Linked DNA regions of Macaca fascicularis. The protein of the gene in region 3 interacts with the protein of the main gene of each other region in a pairwise test. Links are inferred from orthologs where the notes say so. Each region holds a gene or a part of one and is shown on either strand. Other genes may lie near its edges.

What was found.
Region 1: the proteins of KRT15 (region 3) and TXLNA interact in binary tests that used the Homo sapiens proteins (3 or more experiments, as listed by UniProt). The two-hybrid records come from large-scale screens. The link is inferred for Macaca fascicularis from reciprocal best matches to the Homo sapiens genes KRT15 and TXLNA.
Region 2: the proteins of KRT15 (region 3) and ARFIP2 interact in binary tests that used the Homo sapiens proteins (3 or more experiments, as listed by UniProt). The two-hybrid records come from large-scale screens. The link is inferred for Macaca fascicularis from reciprocal best matches to the Homo sapiens genes KRT15 and ARFIP2.
Region 4: the proteins of KRT15 (region 3) and SMARCD1 interact in binary tests that used the Homo sapiens proteins (3 or more experiments, as listed by UniProt). The two-hybrid records come from large-scale screens. The link is inferred for Macaca fascicularis from reciprocal best matches to the Homo sapiens genes KRT15 and SMARCD1.
Region 5: the proteins of KRT15 (region 3) and SGF29 interact in binary tests that used the Homo sapiens proteins (3 or more experiments, as listed by UniProt). The two-hybrid records come from large-scale screens. The link is inferred for Macaca fascicularis from reciprocal best matches to the Homo sapiens genes KRT15 and SGF29.
Region 6: the proteins of KRT15 (region 3) and KANSL1 interact in binary tests that used the Homo sapiens proteins (3 or more experiments, as listed by UniProt). The two-hybrid records come from large-scale screens. The link is inferred for Macaca fascicularis from reciprocal best matches to the Homo sapiens genes KRT15 and KANSL1.

What each region holds. Positions count from the first base shown.
Region 1 is NC_088375.1:202,849,163-202,853,288, forward strand, and holds the start of TXLNA (alpha-taxilin), read right to left. Parts: upstream 2,801-4,126; 5' UTR 2,747-2,800; intron 2,176-2,746; exon of another isoform or gene 2,174-2,175; 5' UTR 2,142-2,173; coding exon 1,973-2,141; intron 1,242-1,972; coding exon 906-1,241; intron 1-905. UniProt on the Homo sapiens protein: May be involved in intracellular vesicle traffic and potentially in calcium-dependent exocytosis in neuroendocrine cells.
Region 2 is NC_088388.1:59,599,422-59,603,663, forward strand, and holds the start of ARFIP2 (arfaptin-2), read left to right. Parts: upstream 1-1,442; 5' UTR 1,443-1,543; intron 1,544-2,315; 5' UTR 2,316-2,357; coding exon 2,358-2,456; intron 2,457-2,707; coding exon 2,708-2,804; intron 2,805-3,513; coding exon 3,514-3,632; intron 3,633-3,812; coding exon 3,813-4,034; intron 4,035-4,119; exon of another isoform or gene 4,120-4,193; intron 4,194-4,242. Other genes in the region: TIMM10B (mitochondrial import inner membrane translocase subunit Tim10 B), read right to left, coding at 556-732, 924-1,019, 1,221-1,256. UniProt on the Homo sapiens protein: Plays a role in constitutive metalloproteinase (MMP) secretion from the trans Golgi network. May have important functions during vesicle biogenesis at certain cargo subdomains, which could be predominantly utilized by secreted MMPs, such as MMP7 and MMP2.
Region 3 is NC_088390.1:62,557,296-62,561,266, reverse strand, and holds the start of KRT15 (keratin, type I cytoskeletal 15), read left to right. Parts: upstream 1-1,171; 5' UTR 1,172-1,234; coding exon 1,235-1,732; intron 1,733-2,884; coding exon 2,885-2,967; intron 2,968-3,089; coding exon 3,090-3,246; intron 3,247-3,790; coding exon 3,791-3,952; intron 3,953-3,971.
Region 4 is NC_088385.1:56,914,782-56,919,019, reverse strand, and holds the start of SMARCD1 (SWI/SNF-related matrix-associated actin-dependent regulator of chromatin subfamily D member 1), read right to left. Parts: upstream 2,801-4,238; 5' UTR 2,773-2,800; coding exon 2,596-2,772; intron 1,976-2,595; coding exon 1,788-1,975; intron 1,502-1,787; coding exon 1,459-1,501; intron 1,366-1,458; coding exon 1,243-1,365; intron 759-1,242; coding exon 636-758; intron 1-635. UniProt on the Homo sapiens protein: Involved in transcriptional activation and repression of select genes by chromatin remodeling (alteration of DNA-nucleosome topology).
Region 5 is NC_088394.1:27,850,909-27,853,816, reverse strand, and holds the end of SGF29 (SAGA-associated factor 29), read right to left. Parts: intron 2,199-2,908; coding exon 2,069-2,198; intron 1,999-2,068; coding exon 1,852-1,998; intron 1,654-1,851; coding exon 1,618-1,653; intron 1,512-1,617; coding exon 1,349-1,511; intron 704-1,348; coding exon 587-703; 3' UTR 501-586; downstream 1-500. Other genes in the region: sulfotransferase 1A1-like, read left to right, coding at 1-28, 151-263. UniProt on the Homo sapiens protein: Chromatin reader component of some histone acetyltransferase (HAT) SAGA-type complexes like the TFTC-HAT, ATAC or STAGA complexes.
Region 6 is NC_088390.1:67,802,848-67,806,793, forward strand, and holds the start of KANSL1 (KAT8 regulatory NSL complex subunit 1), read right to left. Parts: upstream 2,801-3,946; 5' UTR 2,756-2,800; intron 1,226-2,755; 5' UTR 1,092-1,225; intron 1-1,091. UniProt on the Homo sapiens protein: Non-catalytic component of the NSL histone acetyltransferase complex, a multiprotein complex that mediates histone H4 acetylation at 'Lys-5'- and 'Lys-8' (H4K5ac and H4K8ac) at transcription start sites and promotes transcription initiation.

The DNA.
Region 1 (4,126 bases), on a different chromosome or scaffold from region 3:
GACTCCGTCTCAAAAAACAAACAAACAAACAAAAATAATTAAAAAAATAAAAGAAGGCTGGGCACGGTGGCTCACGCCTGTAATCCCAACACTTTGGGAGGCTGAGGCAGGCGGATTACGAGATCAGGAGATCGAGACCATCCTGGCTAACACAGTGAAACCCCGTCTCTACTAAAAATACAAAAAAAAATTAGCCGGGCGTGGTGGTGGGCACCTGTAGTTCCAGCTACTTGGGAGGCTGAGCCAGGAGATTGGTGTGAACCTAGGAGCAGATCTTGCAGTGAGCCGAGATCGTGCCACTGCACTTCAGCCTGGGTGACAGAGCGAGACTGTCTCAAAAAATAAATAAATAAATAAATAAAAATAAAAGAAGCCTGCACCCAGCCTGCAGTTTTGCCTGCTCTCAGTTGGCTAGTTGAGAGCAACTAATCAGGAAGCAGTAAAGTCTTTGGATAAAGTAGCCTACATCTTCATGTGGCCCCATGGCCAGCCCAGCTTATGCAGACATTTGGGTTTTCAACTCCAGCCTAGTCTAATTTTCTTACTGTAAAGAGAAGTATAAACTAAGACCCAGAGAGGAGAAGGGACACACCCGAGATCACACAGCAGGTAGTACTGGCTGGCACAGGAGCCCACCCTGGCCTCCCATCTCCATTTTCTCAAAGAGAGAACAGGTCCCATTCCAACCCCCAATTGCTCCAAAAGCCAGAAGGCCTTGTGCTGGGAACCCCTGCATCTCTCTATGCCGTGGCCCCCACATCCCTGGCTTTGATTACACTAGAGTGACTTGCTGTTCTGAGAAGTACCGTTTTCCTTTGAATCCTGGCGGAACAGACTGGTCCAGAGAACGTCAAGTCCAAACTCCCTCCCCTCACCAGCCTCACAAAGAGCCACCCTCTGCTCACCCAAACCCTTGGCTTTTTTCTTCTCCTGTGGCCTTCGGTGGTCTCGGTCTCCGACCTCATCACTCTGCCGGATCTCTTCTGTGCCTGGATCCCCCTTGGAGGGTTCCTTCTCTCCATTGACTACTGGAGTTGGTTCAGGCTCCCCATTCCTTGCCACATAGGTCCGGGACTTCTCTGCATCTTCGGGTTCAGCTGGCTCACCCTGTGCCCCATCCTCGCCAGGCCCCCCCTGGTTACTGTCCACACAGTATGTGCTCAGTATGTCTTCCAATTGGCGACTCAGCTCCTCAGAGACATCACGAAGGGCCCCAGACTGAGCCGTTTTGGCTTGAGCCCCTACAGCAGGAGAGGATGAGGGGTAGAGTGAGAAACAAGACAAATTATACCACTGGTTGGGAATTTTCAGGTCCAGCCAAACTCATCAGTTTGAGTTAAATGTTGCCTAACTTTTCTTTTTTTATGGAAACTGAGAAGCAAGAATGGAGTATTATTCAGCAAATCTAGTTCCTGTCAGAATTTAAATTCGAAACATCTTTTGAATCAAGAAATTATAGTAATATAATATAGTTAAGCTTCACTTCTGTTTACTTGTAAAATGACACAACTATTTCTCACTACCACTCGAACATGTTTGTTATGATCATAAAAGTATGTAAAGCATCAGCACACAGGGATGGCATGGTGCAACTTCTAGTCCATCTCCTTCCCCCTCACAAAACCATTTTTTACCATTCAGATCATTCTAGAAATGCCTCAAACAGGAAGGGCAGTTAGCTGCTAGTGGCTGAGGTGTTTCAAACCGGACCTGGATTTCCTGACTGGGTGCCCCGTTTGGCTGCCACCTGACTTAATCCCGTTAGAGGTTCTCTCCAGAACTCTGTTCCTGTGCTTACAGGGAGCGGCTCCGCCAACTCGCCAGAATTCGGGGGTGACCGCGGCCCCAGCACTGTCCTCTCATTCTATATTCCCTCCTCCCGGACAACCTGGCTTCGGCCTCTAAGTCCAGAAGCGAGGCCGGCCCCACAGCTCCACCCCCTGCCCGCTGGCAACGCAGAGCTGGCACACACCCTCCGGCTTCCGAGGAGCCTGGCTGCTGCCGGGACCTTCTGCTTCTGCTGCAGGAGCCGCCTGGCTGGGCCGCTCCTGGGCTCCCTCGGGTCCTGCTTCCGGTTGTCCCGGGCTGCTTTTTGGGTTGGATTGTTTGGCAGCCCCGTTCTTTTTGTCTTGGTTCTTCATTGTGATGAGAGATGCTGGGTCAGGAGAAGATCCTTTAGAAACAAACACAGTTGCTATTTTCCAGACTTCGAAATTCTTCGCAGCCTGGATCAGAAAATCCCCACAGCAGGCGCACGAAGCTTCTTAAACGGACCGGCCGGCCCTGGCAGAGGGCGCCAACGGCTCTCGGGTCTTGGAGGGTCAGGGGAGCCCGGCGTGCCGGGACAGGCTTTCGGGGCGCAGCTCCCGCAGCGGGTGAGGGAAGGGGCCTCTTTTCTCCCTGGAGCCACTTCTCTACACAACCGGCCCCCTCGCGGCAGGCCGGGCCCGGGATTGGCTCAGGGCCGGAGACTGACGTGGCGGGACTCCCGGCGCCGGCGCCGCCCCCGCCCCTCAGGCCCCACGTGCGCCCCCCGCGCTCGCAGCCACCCACGCCCTGCGCGCCCTGCAGCCTCGAGGCACGCCCGCGCATGCGCACCCCCCCCCCCCCCAGGCAGGCCACCCCCCCTCCCCCCGTCCCGGCCGCCGGCCCACGCGCGGAGTTGGCGTGATTTCCCCACAGGCCGAGAACATCCCGGCCCGCACACCCTCAAATAGTCTCGCCCAACGGCTGCCACGGCACGTACCTCACCGCCGACGTCCGACGGCTTCCCCAGCTCTGGCCTCGCACCGGAAACCCCGAGTAACCGCTGCCGGCGAGCCGCCTGCTCCCGCCTCAGCCAATCAATAGCCGGCGCCGGCGCGGAGCTTGCTGGGAAGGACTAAGCGAGGGCGGCCTCGGAGGCGGGCGCGCCGGGAGGGCGGGGCAGGGAAAAGTCTACGCGTTCCTCCGTACGCAGGGGCTATCCGCAGTCCCGAAGTGCATAAGGGGCTGTAGTCCTCAGAGTCCAAAAGGAGCCCGTCATTCTGCACGAGTGCCCACGTCAACCTTGTTTCTATCTCGCAGAAGCTATGTTTCAACTCCCGAAGGCTTTGCGCCTGGCTATTGTTTCCTGCAGGCCTCCATCAAACCTTCCTCCCTGGCCGTGAACAAATGTGACTCCATCCAGGAACTCCGAGGACTCGGGAAGAGGGATAAGAGTCCTGAACTGAGACTCAGGAGACCCACACTCCAGTCCCAATTTCATCACGGATTTGCTGTGTGGCTGGACGTTCTTTTCTCTCTCTGGGCCTCGATGTCCTTCTTCCGAAGGAGGCTTTTAATAACAATAACAGTTCCTTGAACGCTTACTGTGTGCTTTCCCAGTATCTAATAGCTTGGTTCTCATAACCACTCATAGAAATAACTACTATCTGTTATCCCCATTTTACGGAAAAGGACAGTAAGAGAAAGGTTAGGTAACTTGTCCAAGGTCACATGGATAGTGAGTGGTTAAAACAGGGATTCAAAACGTAAGTCTGACACCAGCACCCAGGTAACTATTCGGCTACCCTGTCTTTTACCCAGAAGAAACACTACCACAGCAGGTTTCCCTGAGGCAGTCAAGGTAACTTGTGAAAGTAGGTCATATTTTCCCCTCTCCATTACCGTTTTGGCAGTCAGTTCCTCAGGAAGGTGCTGAGTCAGGCTTCAGGCATATTCATGAGCCTTTTCTCTACCCCATACTCTACGAAGTCTCACTGGGGTTAAAGTAGAAAAAAACCCCACAATTCTCTACACGTGAGATCACAATTCTGTATCCTCATTGTTTCTGGATAATGAAGTCAAACCCAACAATCCTTGTGCCTAGAATTTGAAGCCTAAGAGGTTTGGCTTTTGCCAAACCCAAAATTTTTTGAGGCCCAGTTCAAAGGTCACTTCAGAGCCTTCCCAGTGCTCTGCAATCCGTACTTGCTCCCTAGGTCTGCAGAGTTCTGTTACAGCATTAGCAGTGAGGTGTTGAAATTACTATTTGCTTATAAGTCAGTTAATTTTGCAAGAACTGTTGGCTAAATATTCTAGTCCCAGAGCCTCGCATCAGGCTGTGGGTAGAGAAGATTGTAAACTGTTGTACTAATTGAGCGTT
Region 2 (4,242 bases), on a different chromosome or scaffold from region 3:
CGGTTATAAGCCATTGAAGTCAGTCAGACTTAAGGACAACTAGACAGAGCTCCCATTTTCTGTCATCTGGGCAGGAACCAATCTCCTTTTGTATCAAATGGCCTTCTGGTACATTCTGGAATCTTGCTTCCTCATCTATTTAGTGAGGCTAATACCGCTTACTTGTAGTTTTGTTGTAAACTAAGATAAAGCCTGACATATTACTCATTTTAAAATTGTACACACAGACCCTGCTTTAACCAGATGCCTGCAAATACTCAGGTTTTCCTTCTACATATAGAAGACAACTTATCAGCTGCCAGGGCTGAAGCCAGCAGATATGGCTAAATGACAGAACAAAGGATTATGCCAATAAACTATGCAAAGCTTCCTTGCCCAGAATATAAATCAAACAGAGTAAAAAGCGAGTATATTGGCTCCAGGAAAAGGAGCAAGGACAGCCAGTTTTCAGGCGACCTCGAATTCTCTCCGTTTAGGATTCACCAACCCTAAGGTCCACTGGGTCCTTCAATCTGAGGGTCCATCCAGGGCCTTCCCTCCTGGGGTTGGAGATGGCTAGCTGCCTGATGGAGAGACCCCAGGCTGCTCAGCAGCAACGCCTGGCACAGCCGAGACAGCCTCGTAGTCTGCGATGCGGCGCTGTACCAGGGCAGGCATGAGCTGCACGTAAGCGGCCATGAGGCGGTGGTTGGAATGGATCAGCTTCCCAGCACAGCTGTGCAGACAGGCCTCCTAGAAGGAAGATAGGGTTTAAGCGGAGGACAAAGGTGTCCTGTCGGGCCCGCCTCCGTCCTTCCCCATGCACAGCCTAGGGGTGAGGGTCTGGGAAGGCCAGGACCAGAGGTAGGGGAAGTGGGGTGAGGAGGGAAGCAGTCTACCGCTAAACTCTGTTTGCAGCGTAACCTCCTTACACAGTTCCCCACCTCCTCAGCGTCCAGAGCTCGGTGGTGCAAGCTGGGCACACAACGCTGGAAGCAGAGTTCTGTCATCCGATTGTAGACCAACAGGAAGTCACGCAGCTGGGAGAAAACCGGGACCACGAACTCAGCGATATGTGCCCCACACTTCTACTCAAGGTCGCGCCGCCCAAAGTTTCCCAGGCCCGCGCACCATAACCCGAAGTTTCCAGCCCTCAGATCCCTGGCTCTATGGGGTTTCCGCGATGTGTGCAGGAATGCGAGCTGAACGTCTGGCCCCGAAACGACTTAGTTCTCACTCACGTTTCTCAGTTGCTGTTGCTGCTGCTGCTGCTCCATCACGCCACCGGCGCATGCTCTACGCCACTTCCTTTTCAGCTTCTCGGTGCCGCCCCGGAAGTAACCTCTCGCTGCTCTCGAGAACCAAGCTAGAGTATCGCCCTGCCCCGGCTTCGACGTCACTTCCGCCCTTATAATCTGCGACGTGGCCGGCTTCTTCTGCCCGGAGAGGACGTCACTTCCGCCGAGTCCCTGACCTGCTGCTAGGATCGCGACGGGAACTGGAGCCCGAGGTCCCCGCGCGGCCCGGGCCTGGCGCCCTGAGGGGAAGAGCGGCCCGGCCCGAGGTGAGAGGGACATGCTTGGGCGACGGGAAGTTGAACGCACAAACCTGTCCAGAGGGCAAGATGCCCCGAGCCCTGGGGAAGAATGAGGACACACCTGATGTCCAGGTGTATGGGGGTGGGGGCGGGGACTCACATACCTGGGAGACTGACTGTGGAAGGGATCACCGATATCCTGGTAAAGACAGGCTTTTGCCAGAGACTGGGAACATACACCAACTGATCTAACTAAGGCCTGGTGGGGAGGGCCCAAGGAAGAGGAGTTGTATGAGACGGAGGAGGGGAGACCCCCTGAAGGAAGGGGGAAGAAACACTAAAGGAGTGAGAAAGGCCAAGCAATGGAGAACAAACCTGAATGGGGGGTGAAGACCTGAGCCCTGGAAAGGGTCCATCTCCTGCTCAGCATAAACACGCCTGCATGGAGATAAGTTCTAAGAGAGCTACTTTCCCTCTTCACTGTTGTATTTTCATTGTCACAAATAGTACCTGACACAGAGTAGGCACTCACTAAATGTCTGCTGAATGACTGAATGAGTGTAGAATAATCACCAGAGGCCTGGTGAGGTTGGGGGCTTGTGAGAAGACACCGTGCTTTGGTGTGCCTGTGTACAAATGTGCATTTTGGAGGGGAGAAATACATATACCTGAAGAAAGGAATGATGACCAAACGCTGGGACACTCAAACCCTGGGACAGCCTTTAAAGAAATGACAGAGGAGGCTTCCTTCTTCTAGAGTGCTGGCCAGTGCCCAGAACTTCTGTGTTGGGCTTTGCAGGGTGCTGGGGTGGAGAGTTTTACTCCAATACCTTTCCTAGCCATGACGGACGGGATCCTAGGGAAGGCAGCCACAATGGAGATCCCTATCCACGGGAACGGTGAAGCCAGGCAGCTTCCTGAAGATGATGGGCTGGAGCAGGTGCTTCTGTTTGATTCTTCTAATTGTTTCAATTTAGGAATCCAATTTATAAATCCTGGGTTCTCACCCTCCATTCCAGTAGCCTTCCCCTGAACTTATCTGACTCCCTTAATTTTACATATCATTTTGATTCTGTGCAGACTTCCCTTGTGTAGTGTCTTTATGATGCTTGAATCCAAACTTGTTCCCACCTCCAAAATGCTTCTGCAGTCCCTATGTTCCTGAAGCAACCCCTCTTCTCTGGCCTATAGGACCTCCAGCAAGTGATGGTGTCAGGACCCAACCTCAATGAAACCAGCATTGTGTCTGGTGGCTATGGGGGCTCTGGTGATGGACTCATCCCCACAGGTATGAACAGAAACAGGAAGCTTGGGTGGAGGAGGGGACAGGAATGGTTTGGGGAAGCATAGGATATGTCTAGGAAAGCTTGAATAATGTCTGGAGATCTTAGGAACTTCTGCTTGTAGGAATCCCATGGACTCTCCTCAGCCCAAAAGCAACTCCCAGCATTGTCCATCCATTTCCCTTTTGCCACTTGGCCCCTGAAATGGCTCATTCGTCCTTTCCCTGCCACCACCTGAGTCAAGTTAAGACCTACTTCACAGGAATGCCCCCGCTCTACAGCTTGAGGCTGAGTTGGAACTTTGTGAGGCTTTTCAGAATTTTTAGATTCTAAAGTTTAGAGGAACAAACAGCCCTGAATCTCACACTAAGATTCCACATGGGAATGCAACCAGGTTTCTTGTTATCATGACCCACCATCCTTGACTCCTGCTGCCCCCAAACTCAGTGTATTTTCTTCTGTTTCCTCTGCCCCTATACACCAACAACTCCCTGCAAACCTCTCCTCTGGCCTCCAAGGAGGCCATATGTATATCAGGATTTGGTTATCACTGTGCAAGGTCCGAGTTCCTCCTAGTAAACAGGAGAATCCAGTTGTCTCTAGCATCTCCTTCAGGGAAGTCAATTTCATGTGCTGGGAGAGAAGCATGGGTGGGGCCACAGAGGTGTCTGGTGTATCTGAGAGAGGCTGGTGTCAGAGAACTTGATCCTTTAGGGTCTGGCCGCCATCCATCTCACAGCACCACTCCTGCTGGCCCTGGAGATGAGGTGGCTCGGGGCATTGCTGGAGAAAAGTTTGACATCGTCAAGAAATGGGGCATCAACACCTATAAGGTAGGATTTGAGCACCTCTCACTTCCCCAAAACTCGTTATGGGTACCTTTTTCCCCTTTCCTCATGATCGTAATATCCCATCTGTGGCTGAGAGTAGGAGCCTGGGTGGCGTTGGGGTAGATACCTGTTGTGTCGGGAGGCTATTAGGGTCTCTGATCTATTGCCCCGTTTCCCAATCAGTGCACAAAGCAACTGTTATCAGAACGATTTGGTCGAGGCTCACGGACTGTGGACCTGGAGCTAGAGCTGCAGATTGAGTTGCTGCGTGAGACGAAGCGCAAGTATGAGAGTGTCCTGCAGCTGGGCCGGGCACTGACAGCCCACCTCTACAGCCTGCTGCAGACCCAGCATGCACTAGGTGATGCCTTTGCTGACCTCAGCCAGAAGTCCCCAGAGCTTCAGGTGCCTCACCCAGACCAAAGAGGGTGGGGGAACTGGGCATGGGCCCTCCCAGGCAGTCATTCGTCATCCTCCCTCCCTCCTGCAGCCCACAGGGAGAACCCCTTCAGGGTGGGCCCAGCCCTACCCCCAGCAGCACTCACCTGTGGAGGCAGCCTAAGGGTTTGTACAGAGGTCCAGAAGTTGGAGGGGGTGGGGGAGGGGGCACACT
Region 3 (3,971 bases):
TGGGCTAGGAATCCTCTTCCTGAGTTTCTGTAAGCCCTGGGGCCAGGTCCGGAGGGCCGGGCCACACCTCCAAGAGGCACTGCCCACAGGTGTCAGTTGTCCCTGGAAAGGTGTCCCTGAGCCGGTGGCAGAGAAAAGGGCTCTCCTGAGTGTTCAACTCCCCATCTTTGTGAAGTGATGCCTTGGTCTTCAAGATCTCCAGTGTCTTCCAGCCTGCCCGCCAATCTCCCATCTCTTCCCTTCCACAGCACTCAGGCACATAGAGCCTTCTGCAGCGGCCCCTCCCCAGCCAGCACTTGACAGGACAGATGGGGGCTAATCTGGCCCTGCTAAGCAGCAACATGCTGCTTGGAACTTGCCCCAGCCTTATCAGCGGAGGTCTGCCCCAACACATCCCAGAAGCGAGCAAAGGTTCAGCGCTATGCAGTTGGCAGGTGTCGGGATCATCAGTCATCCCCTTGTCAGCCCCGAGCCTGCTGGGCTTTTGTGAGGGTGCCAGGGACATAGGCTGGAGGCTGGCAGGAGGGGAGTAGAGGTGGGAGGAGGGGAGTCCATCTGCAGCACCAGGGAAGGGATGGATGCTGGCTCCTCTGGTCACCTCAGCTGGAACACTACTCAAGGTCCCTGGCTCCTGTCCTCCAACTGGGGGTCCTGCATTCCCATCCCCAGAGGCCTCCACTCCCCCTGAGCCCTGCAGTCTCTCACTCACTCACAGGGTTTTGAGTTGGATAACACAGTGTAATGATCAAGAAGTGGACTCCCAAACCGAGAACACGGAGCTGTCCCCTTGGGCAGAGGCTCAGGGCTCGGGGCAGTGGAGAAGTCCAGCTGAGGGCACAGTGGCTTGAGCTGCTCTCAGTTCAGCTAGAGGCTTTGGTAGCTGTGCTGTGATGAGAGTTCACTCCCTGCTGCTCTCTTCTGGCATGGAGAGATGAACCTGTAATCCAAGTGTTAAAACCGTGCCCCGGGGGAAAACACTATTAATTCTGAATCATCTCTTTTGTTGCATTAAAAAAAATAGAAGAGAAAAACTTCACACGAGCCACTCAAGGTGTGCAGGCAGCTGTGTTTGTCAGGAAGGCAGAAGGAGTTGGCTTTGCTTTGGGGGAGGAGACGAGGTCCCACAGCACCCTCTGAGGGGAATATAAGGAGCTCCAGAGTGCAGCCTGGCCTGGTACCTCCTGCCAGCGTCTCTTGGGTTTGCTGAGAACTCACGGGCTCCAGCTACCTGACGATGACCACCACATTTCTGCAAACTTCTTCCTCCACTTTTGGGGGTGGCTCTACCCGAGGGGGTTCCCTTCTGGCTGGGGGAGGTGGCTTTGGTGGGGGTAGTCTCTATGGGGGAGGTGGAAGCCGAAATATCTCAGCTTCTTCTGCTAGGTTTGTGTCTTCAGGGTCAGGAGGGGGCTACGGGGGTGGCATGAGGGTCTGTGGCTTTGGTGGAGGGGCTGGCAGTGTTTTTGGTGGAGGCTTTGGAGGGGGCATTGGTGGGGGTTTTGGTGGTGGCTTTGGTGGTGGCGATGGTGGTCTCCTCTCTGGCAATGAGAAAATTACCATGCAGAACCTCAATGACCGCCTGGCCTCCTACCTGGACAAGGTACGTGCCCTAGAAGAGGCCAATGCTGACCTGGAGGTGAAGATCCGTGACTGGTACCAGAAGCAGGCCCCGACCAGCCCGGAACGCGACTACAGCCAATACTTCAAGACCACTGAAGAGCTCCGGGACAAGGTGAGTCCTCAGATGTCAAAGAGAGGGGAGCAGGTGGCTGGTACCCTGTATGTGGCTCTAATGTCGGTGTTACTGCTGACTCGAGGAAATCCTTTCCTGCCCAGGCAACGACTGTCTGGTGTGTAACCTCAGCAAATTTGGAATGCACCTGCTGTCCAGGTGCAGAGGCTAGTGCACATCTTCTCAACTTGGTGGTGCTGGGGGAGGAAGGGAGGGGTCTTGGGAGTCTGGTTAGGACCAACAGGGGCACAGGTGGGGGCAATTATAAAGAGCCAGGGGCAGTAGCTCACACCTGTAATCCCAGTGCTTTGGGGGGCCAAGGTGATAGGACTGCTTGTGTTCAGGAGTTAGAGGCTGCAGTGAGCTAATGACTGTGCCACTGTACTCCGGCCTAGGTGACAGAGTGAGAACCTGTATCTAATGGAAAAAACCAATAATTAAAAAAAAGAGCAGCTCGCCTTCCCTACCTCATGCACCCTGCAGGCTTCTGCATAAAGTATTCCTTCACCTCTTTGGCAAGAATGGGATTGGAGTGTGGCCTCATGAGTCCCAGATGCTAGAACCTCTTGTCTTTTCCTATAAAGAGACCTTTTGTGCCAAAAGTACTGTTGGGTCTTAGGAGACCTGGGAACTCATTACACATTCTGTCACCCACTCACTCACCTTTTTACTCCCTGAGACTGGGTTCTTCATTTGTAAAAGGCCTTCTTTAGCTGCCCTCCAGGTTGCTACTGGCTGGAATGTTCTGTAGATCCATGGCTGTGTCCAAGATGTGCAGGAGGCAGTGACCATGAGCTGTCCACAGGGGGGCTGGTGGAGTGTCTCTGAGAGGGCTATTGTCAGAGCTGACCACACCCCACTCCACCACTCTTCTGGGCAACCAATTCCCACAGGCAGTACTGCCTCCTTGGTCTTTCGTGCCCTGGAGACAAGGAGGGCAACTCCTCAGGTGTCTCAAGGAGGCTGGTATGGGACAAAACCAGAAGTGGACACTCAAGATGCGGCTGGACTCTGCCCACCCCAGAGGCCCTACAGATTTTTGTTGGTGGTGTCAGAGGGGTGATTGTCAGTGAGGGGCTGGCCTTGGGTGCAGAGTGGAGAGCAGCAAGGGAGAGAGAGGAGTCCTCTAGGCACCAACTCTGTCTCCTGCAGATCACGGCCACCACCATCGACAACTCCCGGGTCATCCTGGAGATCGACAACGCCAGGCTGGCTGCAGACGACTTCAGGCTCAAGTGCGCTCCCCCCTCCCTCTCCTCTTCCTGCGTTGCCCACTTTACTTGGCCTTCTCCTGGGTCTGACTCAGGCAGCCAAGACCCCTCCCACTTCCTTCTTTGGCCTCCCTCTCTCTCCTCAGGTATGAGAACGAGCTGGCCCTGCGCCAGAGCGTCGAGGCTGACATCAACGGCCTGCGCCGAGTCCTGGATGAGCTGACCCTGGCCAAGACTGACCTGGAGATGCAGATCGAGGGCCTGAATGAGGAGCTGGCCTACCTGAAGAAGAACCACGAGGAGGTGAGAGCTGGCCCCCATCACCCTTGAACCTGAGAGAGGTGGGGAACTTCTTCCCAAAACGCACTTAAATTGCCCAGAGGGAAAGACAGCGGCTCCAGGAAGCCCTCCCAGATTTTCGCGAGATTAAGTCGGTGGGAGGCAGAGTGGGGCTGCTGGTACTTCCTCATCGTTGGCCTGGGGCTTAGTGGTTCAGAAACACCCCCAAACCCCAAAACCAGGTGTCCTCATGGAGAGGAAGGGGCACTGACCTGTGGTAGCCCAGACCCACAGCCAGGCCAGGTGGCCAGTACGAATGACTGACTTCCTCATTGGCTTTGTGAGCTCACATCAGGGCCCTACAGTCTCGGGGTCCTCCCTTTGGTAGGACCTAGAGCAGCAGAGAGCTCCTCAGAGTTGAGGGGTCCATGTGACCGAACCTCTTCATGTGCAATAGGGAACATCGGTTGGGGTGCGTTAGGGGCAGAGCCAGGATTGGCATGTGGGACCCCAGACTCAGGTTTCTCTTCTGCTCTCCGTCTCTAAATGGGCCCCTCCCACCCTGCAGGAGATGAAGGAGTTCGGCAGCCAGCTGGCCGGCCAGGTCAATGTGGAGATGGACGCAGCACCGGGCGTGGACCTGACCCGCGTGCTGGCAGAGATGAGGGAGCAGTACGAGGCCATGGCGGAGAAGAACCGCCGGGATGCTGAGGCCTGGTTCTTCAGCAAGGTGGGCCTGATCTCCTGCC
Region 4 (4,238 bases), on a different chromosome or scaffold from region 3:
TATATAGAGAAGGAGGCTCTGACACTGAGCCCTGGTTCTCCTGCAAAAGTGCATTCCAATTAGCTTCCTGCGAGCAGCTAAAAATAGAGCAAGAGAATGTAAGGGAATGAGAGAAAGGTGAGCTTCCCCGAGGAGCTTCTGGGTTGGGAAGTTTGGGGGCTATCACCTGTCAGCTGATGCTCCCCAGGAAGCAACAAAGAGCCTGTCAAGAGAAATCTATCCTACTTAAACTATGGGGTGCCTCCAATGAAAGTTGAGAAGATGGAGATACCACAAGAACTCAGAGAGGAAACACGGCCTCAAATGAAGTGCAAACTCGACTAAAAACAAAACAAAACAAAAACTAAATAATCTACAGATACGGCTAAATCCAATGGCCAGCAGCACCAAGAGGAAGGTAAATCACAAATCAGATCCCAGGACAATAAGGTTCTCCACATGATACCAGTGAAGGCCAAAGGTGTGGGGGCAAACACAAAGGACCATTGTCTTTCAGTGCAGGGAACAGTGTCCCTCTCCCTACTGCTCCCAAAAGGAGCTGTGAGCACCAGTTAGGCTTCCTGCTGACCAGACAACACTGTTCATTCCCAGCAGCTCCCACCCTAGATGCCAACCACTGTGGACCTTGAACTCACATCCTCCAGGAGCCGTCCTTCTACCCGAAGCTCCCAGGAAGCCACCGTCCCTTCCCCATCCTCGGCATCTGACTTAGCCGGATTGAAAGTGTTAGAAATGAAAATTCGCAGCTTCCGTTTTTGCTGAGGAAGGCAGAAACAGGATTGATCGTGGGGCTTCAGTGGTCTAATGTTGAAGACAAGAGTCTCCCCAAACCCCAAAATTATTCCTAACAGACTGGCTTACTGTCTACCCAGTCCCTTGGGTGGGTGGATGAAGATTCCATTTAGAAGAGGAGTACTGGCCATCAGCCTAAGTACAAGTGCATACAGTGGGATGCCAGGTGGACAAAGTCACGCAAGGTGCCAGGTTCCCAAGGTAGCAGAGCAGTTACAGCAAAAACATGGACAAGGGTATATTTGTAGTGCAAGAGACATCAAGAGCCCCTCCCCCTTTGCCATTCTGTTCTTATCCTCCTAATGTAATTCTCAGTTTGTAGGCGGAAGGGAAAGATACAATTTAAATGCCAAGGAGAGTTGTGCTGTGCCTTTGATTTCTCATCCTAAGCCTGCTGAAGGTTCCTGGGTCCTCTCCTTTGGCTCTCTGCTTAGTAACTTCCTGTGTTACCTTGATGGGACGTTTCAAGGCCTCTTGGATATCTAGTCGTTTCCTCATGATAGTCTGGTCCAGTTTCCTTTCAAAAGCCAAGAGATCCATATAGGCCTGGGATTCTGGTACCAGTTCACGAATCTTAGGAACAGAAAAATTAATTGAAATCTAGGATGATTCATCTCTATACTCAAACCTACCACACTTTCCAGAAAACAGATAGCCTGGACTCACCCTTTGAGGTAGAATTTTGTCAGCCATCTTCTTTTTCTTTGCACTGTTGGGAATAAACACTATTATCAGGTTGGGACAGAACTAGTCAGAACGTGAAAATAAGCTGTCAGCATGTCCATTTATAGTAATGTGAAGGGATTGCAAAGCTGCTCTCAAAGAACTACCACCACCACCACCACCACCACCACCACCACCACCACCAAGCATTCTCAATCATCCTGTAGCACCATCTGCTGACACAGCACCACCACTTCTTGGTTCAGGTAATCCCACCACCTGTGTACTCCCAGGCTCCCTCCCTCCCTCCCTCTGCCCCAGGATCATCTTACTTGTGGTTTCGATTTTGGACAGCCTGCTGCTGGACCTGCTGGATCTGCTGAGGGGCAGGTCTCTTGCGGGACTGATCCATCCCTGACTGGGCCAGGCCAGGTCGGACTGAAGGGTTCCCCCCATAGCCAGGGGGTCCCATGGAAGGTCCCTGAGGTGTCATTCGGCTGCCTGGCAACATACCTGGTCTCTACAGAGGGGAGAGGACCCAGAGATGTCATGGTTTCACCTGCTAAACCCCACCAAGAAAGAAAAGCAGGGAACGCCTGAGTTCTTTGAATGAAGTAAGGTTTACGGATGGAATGGAGGACAATGAGACGAGAACCCTCTGCTCCAGCAGTGACTCCACAGAAAAATAAGAGTCCAAAAGCTAAGCGAGAGCCAGATTATACTCAAATTATCGGTCTATTTTGGATCGGACACATCGGACATCGCCAGTTCCACATTTACTCTGCTAGCTACTATCTCTTTAGAAGCTGACCTCAATTTGTCAGCTACACGTTCTGTGTTCCTTTGATCAATGGAGCTGCTCAAGCCCCTCTGCACTCCGGCCCTCGTATAGGTATCCCTGGACCCACTTCACCCACCCTGGTTCTCTACCGACTCCCCACGGAAACAATGCCCCTAGGAGCTGGTGTGGACACCAACTGCCTCCCCCTCTCTTCCTGCGCACTGCCTCCCCCAGCCCCCACCCAGAGCCCGAACCCCTCCCAAGGGAGTCCCTCCTACTTCTCCCCCCACCCCTGTCACTCCCACGTCCCCGCTCGGCCCCGCCCCCGGCCCGCGCGTCCCTCCTCCTGCCCCACTCACCGGATAGGCCGCTCCGGGCATCGGGGAGCGGTACAGCCCTTGACCCGGAGCCGGGCCCATTCGCACGGGAGGCCCCGGAGTTCCGCCCGGGCCCAGGGCAGCAGCCGCGCCCGCCCCTCCCGAGGCTCCGGCGCCGCCGCTCGGAGCCACAGACTGGAAACCCGCCCGGGCCGCCATCTTCCCGGAGCCGCCGATGCAGCTGCACAAAGAACCGGAACCGGAACTCCCCCCGCCCCCTGAGCGCCCCCCGAGCGCCCGCCTGTTCCCCCGGCCGGCTGGCCGGCACGGGAGGCTCAGGGCAGCGAGACTGTCGCCTAGAGAGGAGCGAGTAGCGGAAAAGGCGTGCTGGCCACGCCCTCCCGCCTTCACGGTCCTGGAGGGAAAACCATAGAGAAGAACTCTGGGATAGAGAGGCCCCGTGAGTGGGCGCCCCCAGGCCGACGGGAGGTAGACAAGGACCTGGAAAGGGGGACGGACCACAGCCTCAGCCCCAGTCTCAACCCCGACTCCAGCCCGCTGATGATGAGGTGCTTGGAGTAATAGCTTCATCTTGGCGCATGGCATTAACTTCCCAAAACGCTTTGATTGCTTTTCGTTTCATTTTCTTACTGCTATAACTATCAGGGGCTGAGGAGGGAAACACAGTTTATTCCATTTTCCAAATAGGAAAGCTGAACTCACAGGTGAACGACTTGGCAAAGGTCAACCAGCAAGTTAGTCATAAAGCCGAAGCCAAGATTCCAGGTCTTCTTGCTCATAGCCCAGGACTCATTCCACAGATAAAGTGCCTCAATAACTACCTCACGTGGGAACTTCAACCTAACTTTGTCTCCGACCTAACCTGCTTCCGGATTATTATTATTATTATTTTTTCGACATGAGGTCTGTCTTTGTCACAGTGGCACCATCTCAGCTCACTGCAACCTCCGCCTCCCAAGCTCAAGTGATCCTCCCACCTCAGCCTCCCGAGTAGCTGGGATCACAGGCATGCACCACCATGCCAGGCTGTTTTGTATTTTTGGTAGAGACAGGGTTTCACCATGTTGCCCATGTTGGTTTCAAACTCCTAAGCTCAAGTGGTCTGCGCGCCTCAGCCTCCCAAAATGCTGGGATTACAGGTGTGAGCCATTGTGCCTGGCCTCAGATTTTTTTTTAATATTAAAAAATAGGGATGGGGGTTTCATTATGTTGCGTAGGCTGGTCTCGAACTCCTGGCCTCAAGTGATCCGCCCGTCTCAGCCTCCCAAAGTGTTGGGATTACAGGCGTGAGCCACCGTGCCAGCCTGCTTCCAGATTTTATAATAAGTTCCAGTTTATCTTGAATTTTGACTCTGCTCTCTCTCTAAAGCATTGTTCGTGATGGGGATTCTGTTTTGGACCTTTGTTGCCTTTGACTCCTCCCTCTTTCCCTGCCCAGTGGTTCAAACTATTCCTGATACGATGGTCAGCCGTCCCATCCCAGGAGGACCACAGTCTCCCTATTCAAACCTTCTCCTTACTCATCCCCTAATTGTTTGGCCCCAAACCAAGCTCAGCTCTAGGCACTTAGTGAGAATACCTAAATATGTTTTCAAATAAGTGAACAACACTGAAGAGGAGATGGTTGAAACCCAGTTTATTAGACCAGAGGCATGCGTCACCCA
Region 5 (2,908 bases), on a different chromosome or scaffold from region 3:
CACAGCATCTCCCCCTTCATGAGGAAAGGTGGGTGCTGGCCAGCACGGGGGTTTGGGGCGGGTGGGAGCAGCGGCTGGAGCCTCCCCATAGGCACTCGGGGCCTCCCCTGGGATGAGACTCCAGCTTTGCTCCCTGCCTTCCTCCTCCAGGAATGACTGGGGACTGGAAAACCACCTTCACCGTGGCGCAGAATGAGCGCTTCGATGCGGACTATGCGGAGAAGATGGCAGGCTGCAGCCTCAGCTTCCGCTCTGAGCTGTGAGAGGGGCTCCCGGGGTCACTGCTGAGGGAGTGTGCGAATCAAGCCTGACCAAGCGGCTCAAGAATAAAGTATGATTTGTGTTCAATGCAGAGTCTCCATTTCAAGCCAAGAGAAACCATGAGCTGAAAGAGTGATCGCCCACTGGGGCCAAATACGGCCACCTCCCCACTCCAGCTCCCCAACTTGCCCTATTTGGAGAGGGGAGAGGGTCTGGAGAAGTAAAACCCAGGAGACGAGTGGAGGAGGAATGTCTGTTTAATCCCAGCACATCCTCTGCTGTCCTGCCCTGTGTCGTTGGGGGATGGTGAGTCCACCAGGCAGCGTCACTTTTTCTTGGGCTCCTTACAAGCCACCACGTACCTCTGAGCCACATTCAGGGGAGGGGAATAGCCGTCTGCATAGGAGGTGTCTTCAAATAGGACCGAGTAGTCATCCTGGGGCTGTGTGGCAGGCAGACAGGAGGGCTGCTCAGAGAGCCCCAGGCCAGGACAGGCACCCCCTTCTCCCAGCCTAGACCACAGGAGCCTCTGGGCTGTGGACTCTCAGCCACTCTCATCATCCTTCACTCTGGGGTCAAGATGTCTTGGCCCGGTCCCTGCTGCTACACAGCTCTTTTCTCAGTGGCTGGAGACCCAGGGCAGTGAAAAGGGTGGGGAGAGGAAGGGGCGCTGACTCCTTTCCTAATGGGGCCATAGCTGGAGGGTCTGCTGCCTTTCAGGGACCCAGGGCAACCCAGATGGTGGCAGGTAGGGATCCTAGCCTCAGGTGGCTTGTGTCCCATGTCACCAGGAGCATAAGGGGGTAGGAGCCCGGGGCTCAGGGCAGGAGCTTCCCATCTCAGAGCTAGTTCTCCTAGGAATGCAGAAAGGGAGTTGCTGACTCAGGGCTTGCCAAGACTGCCAGGGCTTGCAAGGGGATGGTGACCTTTGGGGCTGGAGTGGAAGAGGGAGGGCAGCTGGTGGGTGCTGTCAGCTTGGAGCTTGTGAGATAAGGACAAGGGGAGGGAGGGGGTAGAGGACCCCTTGTCTGTCTGATCAGCCTGTTCCTGACATCACCCATGGCCTCTCCCATGGAGGCTGGTTTACCCGCTGTGGGGGTGCGTGGATCAGGGCACGGTAGAAGCAGGTGGTCTGGGGATATAAGGCCAGCACGAGCTGCTCCTTCTGAAACAAGGCCTCGGGGTCCGTCTCTGGGTTGGCCTTCCACTGGGGCAGCGGGATGACACGGCGCCGGCTCAGGGTGTGTCTCCTGGGAGAAGAGGGGCTTATATCAACATGTGGCCAGGTGGGGATGCTCCTTCCCAGACGTTAGGCTGCCCCCAGGCTCCGTGCCCTGCCCTGGCCTAGACACTCACTCTTTGCCTTCTTCATCGATGTCGTCTACCTCATACCTGTGGACAAAAGGAGGAAAACGCTGGATGCAGCCAGGGGTGCAGTCCCTGTCGGGGAGTGAGGATGGGGGAGGACCTGGTGCTCCTTGCACAGTTGGCCTCTGGGGAGCTTTTCTCCTGCTGTGCAGACGGGAAGCAGAGCGGCAGCCCAGGCAAGTTCGGTGACCAGAAAGCAGCCCCGGGGCTGGTGTCACTCACTTGTTGGTGGCATGGCTGTAACTGACCACCTCGGCCAGGATCCACTGCTCGTCCCCATCCACGGCCTTCACCCGGGCAGCCACCTTGTCTCCAGGTCTGGCCACATAGTCCCCTGAGGCGGGGATGGCCCCACAGAGGGGTGGGGGCCTGTGAGCAGAACAAAGGGTCAGTCCCAGCCCCTGGGCACCAGCCCCTCCCTCGCAGCTGCTGCCCTCACTTGTCACCGGGCTTCCCGATCCACAGGGGCAGGGTCATGGCCGACTGCTGCAGCAGGGTCATCAGCACCCCTCTGCGCATGGTCTTCCGGGGTGGCTCCGAGTCATTGTAGAGACCTGCGATCTTGGCCGCTGTGAGAAGGAAGGGAGGCCTGAGGCCCCAGGGACAGGTGCTGGCCCTGACCCCCCAGCATGCTGCACTGAGCTGTTGGAGGACCCCCTGGGAGCGCCCAGTTCCTGAGTGAGCCCGAGGGCCCAGCAGGACTGTGACCCTATCGGCCATGTGTCAACACCTATAGGGGCTGCTGCGCTGAACCACAGTTGAGTGAGAGGGCAGCACAGCGCACACCCAGGGGGAGGAAGCAGAAGAAAGAAAGCAGTTTCCGAGGTGCTGTTCAGGCTGTGTTTGCTGATCTGAATGCTGGTTACAGAAGTGTGTTTAGTTAGTGAATATGTCATTGAACTCTGCACTTACATGTACTTTTCTCCTATTAATATACGTTGTAATTCAATAAAAAGTTAAAAAGAACACAACAGGCCGGGCGCGGTGGCTCAAGTCTGTAATCCCAGCACTTTGGGAGGCCGAGACGGGCGGATCACAAGGTCAGGAGATCGAGACCATCCTGGTTAACATGGTAAAACCCCGTCTCTACTAAAAAATACAAAAAAACTAGCCGGGCGTGGTGGTGGGCGCCTGTAGTCCCAGCTACTCGGGAGGCTGAGGCAGGAGAATGGCATAAACCCGGGAGGCGGAGCTTGCAGTGAGCTGAGATCCAGCCACTGCATTCCAGCCTGGGCGACAGAATGAGACTCTGTCTCAAAAAAAAAAAAAAAAGAGCCAC
Region 6 (3,946 bases), about 5.2 Mb from region 3:
TAAATGAAGATGAGAACTCAGTCTACATGACCTAAGATTTCCCACAAGTCCAGATATTTAGGTTACGCAGACTGCATTATTGTCCGATTTCTCCTCTGCATTAATCTGGAAGTCTACAGAACAGATTAGCACACAACAATCTTAACTAAGCTAGTATCCAACTCTGAAGGAAGGCGAAGCTGGTGGAGGGTTTCCAAGACTGCTTATCCTTCTCTGTCCTTCCTCCCATACCCTCCTTATGTCTTTTTTGGTTTTTGTTTGTAAAATTTAAAAATATTTAATTTTTTTAAATGTATTTTTAGTCACAAGAAAATCAAAGAAGCCACCCATTTCAGTCTTAAGCTCTGCCCTTTGCCTAGTCCTAATGGAGGGTTCTTTGGCCATCTATGTATAAAAGATGAGAGAAGCCAAAGAGACTGGAGAACCACCACATCAATGGGAGCTTTTTCATCTAAAGGTCATCTGTCCACACTGTCCAAATGAGGTTTACCCTGTGAAATAAACTTGGCATAAGTGCTACCTGTTGAGAAAAACAGTGTGAAATGTCACGCAAAGGACTGGGGTGCAGCAGGAGGACTCTGAAAAAGTCATACGTGTAAACCAGCAGGTCTTAGAATGTTCTAATATACTATATGCAGTTTCAGAGTAAACAAATGGTTAATGACACATCTTTTGTAACACATGAATCAGCTACTGATTTGCAAGAGTGGGACACACCCTAGTACCTATGACTCTAAAGTACCTGTTTGAAAAGTGGACCTAGATGTCTGAATTGCCAACCTATCCTAAAATTGGAACAGAATTTTATAACTATGTAAGTTGCCATAATTTAAAGTTAAAAAGATCACTGCCTTTCATTATAATGGAAGTTAATTTGAGAACTTCATTAAAACGTTCACACCGATAATCAAAGAACAGTAGCAATGCAAAGTAAGGTACAGCCAATCAATCCTAGGAAGCAAACACAAGAGGCAAGAGAAATGGCAGGTAAAGGAACTGAAGAATAGCAAATTCAAGAATTACAAGCATTACAAAGTTCTAAAGAAAAATGAATAAAATGAGGCTGGTAATGAAAAAATAACACATCTTACCTTAAGAGGCATCCAAATAGCATTCATAGTGTCAGGATATAAAGACAATACTCAGAAATGAGCAAGAAGTCTTAGTAATTCCCTCGGTTACCAAGTATGAGCAGATAGGAAAATCTTTTGTTTCGATAAGGTATCTGAAAGAGAGGATTTTCATTTAGACTAAAAAATAATCAAGAAAATGCAAATAGTTTAAGCTACATGGGCAGAGATTTTGAAGTACTATTTGCCTCATCGCACTAAAAAAGTATAGAAAATACAGTCCCCTTTAGAAAACGGCAAATGTGTGTGTGTCTCCGTACATATGTGTAGAAACATACGTTATATAAAAAGAGAAATAAATATGTAACACTTACTTTAGATAATGTAAAATTGCTTATCAAACAGCCAAAATCCCAGAGAGAATAAAGTTTCCAGGGTACCTCATAAACACTAAACGTGATTTGTTAACTAACCATCTAAAAAAAGACCCTTGCTACATTTAATTATATTTAGTAAAGTAAAACCTCTCTAATCATCCCGACTGTCCCAAGATTATGCTTAAGTTTCAGAGTCAATTCCACATGAAAAGTAAAACCTATTCTTGACTGAAGTACTAGAAACAAATAAAATACCCTTCTTCCCCAGAGATCGTTAAAAGCAGACCGAGCAACTTAATTTTGAGGGTAGGAGGAAGGTAAATTTGCCTGGAGGCTGGAGGATGGACTAAATGACCTCTAGTAGGATCCTCGTTCAAGTCCTGGGCCTGAATACAATTCCAGCTTAACCAGTTACTGCTTCGCTTAAAATGGAGGCTTGCCCGCGTAGGGACAAAAATAACAGCACCCACTTCGTTAAAAACAAATGTCGAAAAGTACCCTTATTTAAATAAAAATAAAAAATAAACACCTCTGGAGTGGATGTGTTCTTGCTATGCGTTTGTCACTGAGGCTTCGAAGACTTGGCATCACTTTCCTTACCGCTCACCGGATTTTGGGGGAGGAGCGGGGGGCGGCAGTTTGACTCCTGACCCAAGTCTCAGGCAGGCTTCAAAGCCCCACCAGGGCCCCCAACTCCAGAGCCAGAGGGAGCGGAGAGGCGAGAGCCCGAGATCGCACCTCCCCCCACCGCGGACCCCAGTCCCAAACCTACCCCTCACCCCTCCGCAGTGGGGCGCCTCCTTCTGCCCCATTCCCATTGTTAGGGAGGGGAGAGCGCGGGGTGGGCTCAGGGCAGGGGCGCCCGCGGCCGTTGCCCGGCTCGCTTCAGGAGGGGCGGCCCGCGGGATGCGGCTTCCCTTCCTCTCCGCGTCGGTCCGTCCCACCTCGGCTCGGCCTGGCGCCCCGAGCTCCGCTCCGCGCCCCCGGCCGCGGCCCCGGCCCGCCCCCGGGGCAGCCAGGCCCCCCGGCCACTCGGTCGGCAGCCTGCGGCCCAGGCCTACGAGTGGGCGCTGGGCGGGGGTCCCCGTGCCCCACACACGCGTCCCTCTCCCCGAGCCCCGCCGCTTCCAGGGCCCTCGGCGGCGCCCGCTCCCCGGGCCCCGCCGCCCCCCGCCTCCCAGCCGGGCCGCTCCCTCGAGCTCGTCGTGTCGGGGCCGCCGCCTCTACCTCACCATCACCCCTGTCCACTCGTGCCCCCACCCCCAGGGGCACCAGTGCCAAAGACAGCTCCCCCAGCCCCGGACCTACCTGCACGGTTCAACCAAGCCTAGAAGTGGGGGCGGGGAATCTTCCGCCCTCCTCTGGCGTTCATTGGCCCTTCAGGGGCATATCGTGAGCACCATTGGCTGAGCGATAGTGTCCGTCAGAGAGATGGGGCGGGACCGAAGGGGGAGAGGGATGCTGGTGCCTCGGCGTCTCTGTCTCTGTGTATCTCGCTGTCTCTGTCTCTGTCTCGGCCCTTGGAAACGAGAGGCTTTTGGATGAGAGGACTAGAAGCGGGCCTGAGGTGGGAGGAATAGGAATAGGAATCCTGCCAGAGCGTCACGCCAGTTGGCCACTCTGAACCCCCTACCTAAGTCCCCTTTAGGTTCTCTTCTCCATCACCCCCAACCCCTGCCCCTCACCCCTCGAGGTTCCTTCATCCAGGAAGCGACGTGATGAAAACTCCAGGCCGGAAGGCCATAGGGAGAGATGTTATATATGTATAGAAAATATACACATATAAATATTTATATATAAATTCAACCAGATATCAGTTCACTAGGGCCTGGAAAGGAAAGGGCACACATCTCACAGACAGGGAAGGACTTGAGATAGAGCCGGCAGAAGAAGGAATCAAAAATCACTCTTACGAGCTGGCAACAGTGGTTACCTCCTGGGAGGGGAACTGAGTGCCTAGGGAACCAGTGGGCGGAAGACTTACATATCTCGGCGTATCCTTTGTATCCATTGATTTTTGCACCATTCATCAAGATTCCAATTTTTTAAAAATTGATTTAAAGGTTTAAATAAGGTCCCAAAACCAGGGGACAGATAAGATAGTTGGCCAGGAAAATTGGCACAACATGCAGATTTGGGGAGGAATCTTAGCTTTTAATATATTCAGTTCCAGGTAACAGGGTTTTGTAAAACCCAGTGAAGGTGTCCTAGAGGCAACTGAAGTTACAGAACTTGAGAGAGGGTAGACAATCAGGAGGACTAGAGACTATGTGGGGTCCTCTGCCTGAAGATAGTGGTCTGTGACATGCTAAACTCCCTAAGCAGGGTAATAAGACACCCACGGTAAAAGGTAGGAGAACGAAAAAGAAGGTCAGTGAGGTAAAAGAAACAGAATATTAAAGAGGCATGAAAATTAAGGAAGGAAGGGTCTGTGGAAAATAGAACAATAAAACTATGAGAGAGGACGGGCGCGGTGGCTCATGTTTGTAATCACAGCAC